2 linked regions of the Oryctolagus cuniculus genome follow. The protein of the gene in region 1 purifies or fractionates together with the protein of each later gene. This does not show direct contact. Links are inferred from orthologs where the notes say so. Each region holds a gene or a part of one and is shown in the gene's direction. Other genes may lie near its edges. The genes, in order: SNRNP40 and DDX23.

What was found.
Region 2: the proteins of SNRNP40 (region 1) and DDX23 purify together in Homo sapiens (affinity purification with mass spectrometry; 3 studies listed by BioGRID and IntAct, counting the BioPlex papers as one, with this or other methods). This does not show direct contact. The link is inferred for Oryctolagus cuniculus from reciprocal best matches to the Homo sapiens genes SNRNP40 and DDX23.

What each region holds. Positions count from the first base shown.
Region 1 is NC_091438.1:141,074,471-141,078,381, forward strand, and holds the start of SNRNP40 (U5 small nuclear ribonucleoprotein 40 kDa protein), read left to right. Parts: upstream 1-1,606; 5' UTR 1,607-1,671; coding exon 1,672-1,815; intron 1,816-3,699; exon of another isoform or gene 3,700-3,836; intron 3,837-3,911. UniProt on the Homo sapiens protein: Required for pre-mRNA splicing as component of the activated spliceosome. Component of the U5 small nuclear ribonucleoprotein (snRNP) complex and the U4/U6-U5 tri-snRNP complex, building blocks of the spliceosome.
Region 2 is NC_091442.1:52,328,872-52,332,782, reverse strand, and holds the start of DDX23 (probable ATP-dependent RNA helicase DDX23), read left to right. Parts: upstream 1-1,314; 5' UTR 1,315-1,464; intron 1,465-3,911. UniProt on the Homo sapiens protein: Involved in pre-mRNA splicing and its phosphorylated form (by SRPK2) is required for spliceosomal B complex formation.

The sequences.
Region 1 (3,911 bases):
TCCCAAATTTGTATTTCTGCACACCTAAGCTGTATTTCAAACTGCCTCCTGGATGTTAGGAGTGACCACCAAACACCAAAAAACCAAACATATCAAGACCAAAAATTGGACTCGAGTCATCTTCTCGTATTCAAATATACAAGCCGGAAACCTAGGACTCCCCTCTGATTCCTTTCTTTCTCCTTCCTGAATTCAACCCACCACCAAGCCCTACCTCGAGCTCTAGATTAATCTGCCCAATTCTCCGCAGATGCCCGGCTCCCTCAGTTCTCCTTGACGACATCTCTGACCGGCATCTCTGTACATCCTCGTAAGTGACCTTTCTGCATCCACTAGGGTCCCTCCCATCCCAATCTGCTCACACCACGAAGCCTGAGGGATCAAGCCACCTCTGCCACTCCTCCGCCAGGCCCTGCTCCCCAGAAAGGATCCTCAGCGATTTCCCAGCCCCGTCTGAAAGGAACAAGGACAGATTCCTGCACAGCCTCTACAGCCTCCAGCTTCACCCTGTACCGTACTCCCCTTCACTTCCTCCGTAGCAGCACACTGGCTCTTTGTGCCCTTGTCACTTTCCTTCCAAACGACACAGAACCTCTGCACTTGTTGCTCCAAATAAAGTGCTCTGCCTTCCTCTCTCTACCCAGCTACACTCCTTGCCTGTAGACAGCAGCACAGGCACGTTTTGCTCAGAAAAGCCTTTTCATTTCAGGCACTCGCAGCATCAGACTTCTCCCCTAGCACTTCCGTTTATCAGGGAGGTCGTTGTGTGGTATCTGTTATCCCCACCACACTGAGAAGCCCTGAGATCGGGGACTGCGTTAGGTTCAACGCTAGGCAGAGAGAATGCTAAGCCGGACAACCGCGAGGCCCAGGTTCACAGGTATTATATGTCAAATTTCTTCAACAAGACCACGATCTGGAGAAGGAGCCGGACATGTCCGTCGCCACTGCCTCTCGCGGGGCATGGAGCAGGCCCTAGTAAAAGACTGCAGAATCAGAGGCACACACACACGTCAGCCTCCTCGGCCACACAGGCACTGGCGGCGGCGGGGATACGAGCCTTACCCCCCTAAGAACGCCTGACCCAGGGCTGGCCGCAGCAGGCGCCTGCCGATCAAGGCAGCGGTGCAGGGTCCCAGGCATCCGGCGCCGTCTGCGACCTGCCGTCAGGGACTCCAAAGCTCCACTTCTGCGCGGTAAAGGGAATATTTACCAAAGCTGAGAATTCGAGGCCCGCCCCCCGCCCTTTGCTAGCAACACCTTCGGCTGAAAGGCAGGCTCAGGCCGCAAGGCTGTGGCGTCGGCTCCAGTTTAGAGCCATCAGCTACCCCTCAGCTACCTCATACTCACTTAGCGTCAGCTTCAGGTCTCCCAGCCGCGGCATCGCGCGAAACGCCAAACCCAGTCAGCCAGTTCCCACCCACAAGACACAGCGCGCCTAGGCGGGACGCCAGCTCCACCCACCAATCCTGAGATCACGCTCCCGTGGCGTCAGAAGGCTATGACCAATAACAAGAGACTATTCAGAGGGCGTTGCAGCGGGGAATGCTGGAAGCCGATTGGTTCATTCAAACAGGAAGTCCTGGAGGAAGGACAAAATCGGAACCAATCGCACGGCGCCTAGAGCTGTCGGTGTGGTCAGTGGCGGCTCTGAGGAAAGCGTCTGCCGCCATGATAGAACAGCAGAAACGAAAAGGCCCAGAGTTGCCGCTGGTCCCAGTCAAGCGGCAGCGCCATGAGTTGCTGCTGGGAGCGGCGGGATCGGGCCCCGGAACAGGGCAGCAGCAAGCAACGCCGGGAGCTTTGCTGCAAGCGGTAAGTGCGGTGGCACGCGGCGTCGGGCCCGCAGTTCATCTTCCTGCTCCCTCCGAGCGCTGCACTGGGCGGTCCGGCACTGGGGGGACAGGGGGCTCTACGTAGAGTTCAGGGAGCTAAACGTTGTAAGAGCGCCCGGAGCCCTGCGGGTGCCCCACACGTTTCCTCGTTTGAGGTCCGTTTGTTCGTCTCGTCTGCCCTGGGAGGGAGCGATGGAATTGGGGTTAATCTTGGGCCCACCGCTGAGACCGGGCCCATCTTGGGCGTCCTGCATCCACGAAGAAGTTGGTAGAGTGGGTGGACGAATGAATGAGGGCGGGAAGTAGATGATGCTGACTCGGATCGGGATACTGGGCAAGCTACTTAGCCCTTGTTTCTCTGCGGTAATGTTACTAACAACAGCTGGGTGATAGCGAACATTCAAGGATCCCTGTACCGATGCCTTGTATAGGAAATCTCCGTTAATCTTTGTAACTGCCTGTGGGTTAGGAACTGTTACCCCATTTTGCAGACGGGAAAACAAACTCTTATCTAGATGTTGAACTCGGAATCCATGCCCTTCACTCCATTTCTTGTAAGATAGAGACAGGGAGCACACCTCTCCCGCTTTGCTCGTGATATTGGCCTCTCAACTCTTAAACCAAATCCTTGTGGCATCTGCCGCAAAATATATCCGGTATTGTTACCACTTTGACGGCCTCCATCCCTGTCTCCTGGTCTGGCATGACTGTTGTGTGGTCCTCATTGGGCTTCCTGTTTCTGCCGTCTTAGGGACAGTCTGTTAACAATCCAGCAGCCAGAGTTGTTCTTCTAAATGTCAGATCACTTTGCCCTCTGCCGAAAACTTTCCAGTGGCTTTCCAATTCATTCAGAGTAAAAACCAAAGTCCAGGGGCTGGCACTTGGCATAGGAATGAAAGTGCTGCTTAGGATCCATTGCTTCCATTGGGTTTGACTCCGAGTTGCATTCCTGATACTGTTGCATCCACTCATCAGCTAAAACAGAATATTAGAAAAGCCAGTGACAGTCACACAGGAATTTTATTGAAAGTGAGAGGCAAGGTAACCAATCGGGACCGGTAACCTATTGGGTCTGACACTCCTTACCAGAGTACGGCCCCCAACAGTGGTTACACAGCTTTTTATAGTATTCTGTCCACTAGGGCTCACAATTTCCAACCGAACCTCTGGTATACAGTGAACAATAAAAAGAAAACCAGAATATGGTTGTAAGATAACAGTTAGCAATAACAAACCTGGTAACAAATCCAAGATGTGGTTGTAAGATAACAGTGAAGGACACATTTCTGTCAACCTAGTTCCTGGGAATTTGGGCCCACATAGTTTCACAAGATACACCCTTAGCCGTTAGCAGGCAAAGCTAACATGTACAGAAGCAAGAGATCTGCAGTTAGCTTTTAGCCATCTCACTCCATTTTGATTTTGACACTACAATACCATCTTCATGCGCATCTTGGGAGGCACCAAGTGATGGCTCAATAGTTGGGACGCTGCAACCCCCATGGGAGACCTAACTTGAGTTCCAGGCTCCTGGTTTTGGCCTGGCCTGCCCCAACTGTTGCAATCCTTTGGGGAGTGAACCAGCAGAAGAGAATGAGCTCTGTTTCTCAAATAAATTAAAAATTTAAAAAACACACAGGTGGCCAGCTTTGTGACACTTGGGATGCCCACATCCCACATAGGGGTGTCTGTACTCAACGTTTTCAATCCAGCCTCCTGCCACACATGTGGGAGACCTGGATTGAGTTACCAACTTACAGGCATATGGGAAATGAACCTGTGAATGGGAGTTTTGCCCCCCCATCTCTGTGTATATACCTTTCTGCCTTCCAAATAAAATAAGGTAAATAAATACTACTTTGGAGCATGGTAATGGATTTATGGTGGGCCCTTCTCTGTGGGCCTCTCATAGTGTACCCATGCCAGAGTAAATGGCAGCCTCGAACCATTGCCCAGCTTCCTTGTATGTGGACTGTGAGCACTGATGTAGGTTGCACAATGTGTAAGAATAAATAAATAAATAAATACGACTTTGCCTAATAATCTGTACCCTCAGATTGTTGGGAAGATCAGTCT
Region 2 (3,911 bases), on another chromosome or scaffold:
GCTAATGATGGGAAAACAAAGGAAAGAGGCCTTGGTTCGGCTTTAGGGGAAGAATCATGATCCAAAAAGACCAACAAGAAACAAAGTGAGCAAAGTGAGCACAGGATTTGTGATAAAACAGCTTCAGTGGGAGGCTGACACTAGGAAGAAGAAAGAGACCCATATAGGGTTCGGTGCTGTGCTGTAGTAGGTTAAGCCTCTGCCTACGGTGCAGGCATCCCACATGGGCACTGATTCCAGTCCTGGCTGCTCCACTTCCAATCCAACTCCTGCTGATGCACCTGGGAAAGCAGCAGAGGATGGTCTCCACTTGGGAGACCTGGAAGAAGCTCCTGGCTCCTGGCTTCAGATTGGCCTAGGAGTGAAGCAGTGGATGGAGAATCGATCTCTCCTTCTCTCTGTCTGTAACTCTACCTCTCAAATAAATAAAACCTTAAAAAAACAAACCAACACAAAGGTAGCCCAAAGACTGCAGGGGTCCCTACTGGAACCTGAAGAAAAAAGATGCATGGGGCCAATGCTGTGGCGCAGTGGTAAAGCCAACGCCAGCAGTGCCGGCATCCCATATGGGCGCTGGTTCGAGTCCTGGCTGCTCCACTTCCGATCCAGCTCTCTGCTATGGCCTGGGAAAGCAGTAGAAAATGGGCTAAGTCCTTGGGCCCCTGCGCCCGCATGGGAGACCTAGCAGAAGCTCCTGGCTCCTGGCTTTGGATCGGCACAGCTCCTGCTGTTGTGGCCATTTGGAGAGTGAACCAGCAGATTCAAGACCTCTCTCTGTAGCCCTGCTCTTCAAATAAAATAAATAAATCTAAAAAAGAAAAGAAAATGAGAGAAAAGAAAAAAAAGAAAGAAAGAGAAAGAAGGTGCCACAGCCCAGATCAGAGGATGAAGTGTTAACAGTAGGGGAGATTGGTGGGGCAGGTTGCTACACTGTCCTAAGCCTGGTGGAATTCCTCACGATAAAGAATTGTACAACTCTCATCTTATAAAATGGGTAACAATCTAACGAGATTTTTGCTTTTCCACAAACGGTACTTGTGGTTGCTCGCAGTAGCCCATCATAGAGCCATGCTATAGAAATGCAAAGCCTTAAACTCATACCGTGTAAGGCACGGGCCACGACGGTCGCTACCGTAGCTTTTGGAAGGCCTGCAGATTCCAGGAAGACTGAACCGCGGGAAGATCTGCAGGAACCCGGCCCACTGCTAACTTCCCTCGCACACGCCAAGCTTGGCGAACCACATTGCCCAGCAGTCCCTGCGGCCTTCGGCAGGCGCGGGCGCCGTGCATCCTGGGATTGGTAGTTCTGAGGGCCTTACTGTCGGCTTAAGCTGCCCAGCGCCGCGAACTCGCCTTCCCAGCTTGCCGCGCGGCAAGGGGGTGCATCTCGGCGACCAGGAAACGGGAAAGATGGCGGCTGTTCGGCGACGTTGAGGCCGCGTTGGGCGGTTCCGACTCAGGGTGGTGAGTTCTAGGCAGGGGAGATGGTTCCCTCGAGGTTGTAGAGAAGGCAAGTGTCGGGGGCATGGCTGTGGCCCCTGCCTCCGGGATGAGGCGCGGAAGAACGCCTCGGGGAAGAGGCGCGAGCCGGGGGAAATCTCAGACGGGCAGGAGCGCAGGGGCGCGGGCCCCAGGGGGAGTGCTGGCTGCTGGGGCTCAGGCCACGTTCTGGACGATGTTCCGGGCTCAGACCTTTGGCCGCCGGCACGACTGATTGTTTCCTGCCTCTCGTAGCCCGGTGCCGCAGTCACACTGGAACTTGAATTTTTCTCCCAGAAGCAGCCCGTACTTTCCCGCCTCCGTGCCGTCGGTATTATTAGGCCGGGAATTAGGGAGTTGTTTCTTTCCTTACCCATCCCTAAGGGATCAAGGGCCACTTTCTCAGTGGAGCCTTGCAGAAGTGCTTCTTCGAACTCCCCTACTAGTTCATGCGAGCCTGCCGTACTAGGATGGGTTCTCAGACCCTCTATTGTCGTAAAGCTTCTTAGGGATGGGACTTCCTGTTGTAACTCGCACAGTGTCCTGCGCTGTGCCTTATATGCGGTAGATGGTTGGAAAATACTTAACAGAATGGGAGTTGGGGGGGCGGGGAGACCTGCCCCGGCCGTACAAGAACGGAGGAACTAAAAAGTTCAGGAAATTGGAGAGGAAGGCTGCTGGGAGGCATGGCCGGAGTCCACTTGAGTTTCTGGTTTGCTCTGTGCCACTGAGACAGCTCTTGTCAAGGTCACAAATAATCTCTATTTCCCCAAATGCTGTACTCACTTCTCTGCCCCCTAATCTTTTTTTTTTTTTTTTTTTTTTTTTTTTTAAGATTTATTTCATTTATTTGCGTTACAGAGAGAGGCAGAGAGAGAGTGAGGTCTTCCATCCTCTGGTTCACTCCCCAATTGGCTGCAACAGCTGGAGCTGCTCCCATCCAAAGCCAGGAGATTCTTCCAGGTCTCCCATGCAGATGCAGGGGCCCAAGGACTTGGGCCATCTTGTACTGCTTTCTCAGGCCACAGCAGAGAGCTGGATCAGAAGTGGAGTACCCAGGACTTGAACCGGCACCCATATGGGATGCCAGCACTACAGGCGGCGGCTTTACCCACTATGCCACAGCGCCAGTCTCTACAATATTTCTTACTGCTGCTGTGCCTGACCCTTAAGTGTTTAGAGTGTCCCAGAACTTACTATGGGGTTCTCTTCTTTTTCTTTCTTTAACTCTACTTCCTAACTGGGTAATATCATTTAGTGCTCTGTGGCTTCAAAAGCTATGTACCTGTGACTCATGGTTGTCCCCAGACCCTCTGTTGAGTTCCAGGTTTGCATTTCCATATGCCTTCTGAGACTCCCCTCTTGGCTGTCTTATTACAGAGGTCTCAGCTGCAACCTGGCCGAAAGGAACTTTTGGTTCCGTCCTCAATCTCTTCCTTCCCCAGTCTTTGGTTGGTTCTCTATCAGCAACTCAAACTAACAGACTGTTCAGACCACAAATTTAGGAGCTATTTTCTTTTTTAAAGAAATTTATTTTTTATTTATTTGAAAGGCAGAGTTACAGAGTGAGAAGGAGAGACAGAGAGAGAAATCTTGCACGCACTGGTTCACTCCAGAAGTGGCCACAATGGCCAGCCTGTGTCAGGCTGAAGCCAGGAGCCCAGAGCTTCCTCTGGGTCTCGCATGTGGGTGCAGGGGCCCAAGCACTTGGGCCATCCTCTACTGCTTTCCCAGGTGCATTAGCAGTGAAGCAGCCAGGACTTGAAACAGTGCCCACATGGAATGCCGACATCACAGGCTGCTTTGTCCGCTGTGCCACAATGCTGGCCCTACAGTTTGATTTTTAGTTGCAGACATCTAAGCTAACTCCTGCCTCAGTACTTTAGTACTTGCTGTCTCTTCTACCCAATGAATTATTCTCCCTGAACAGATCTGGTTCTGTCTTTCCCATCATGGAAGTCTCAGTTTAAATATAAACTAAAAATTCTTTCTTGAGCCATCCATCTCTTGTTCATGTCACCCCATTTTATTCTCCTTGTTCATAACTATTTGAAATTCACTCTACTATATTGCCTTTTTTTAAAAATTTTTTTAAAGATTTATTTACTTGAAAGGTAGAGGGACAGAGAGGGAGAGCTACAGAGACAGATCTTCCAGATGTTGGTACCCATCTACCAAATGGTCCTGAGCACTGGGGCCATCTTCTGCTCCCTTTCTAAGAGGAGCCTTATCAGGAAGCTGACTGAGAAGCAGAGCAGCTGGTACTGGAACCAGCACCCTGATATGAGATGCCTGTGTTACAAGCAGCGGCTTAACCTGCTATGCCACAACATGCCCACCTCCCCTGGTTTCTTTGGTTTTGTTTGTGTTTTGTTTTGTTTGGAAGACTTAAGGCAGAAAGAGATTTTTCATCTGCTGGTTCACTCCCCCCC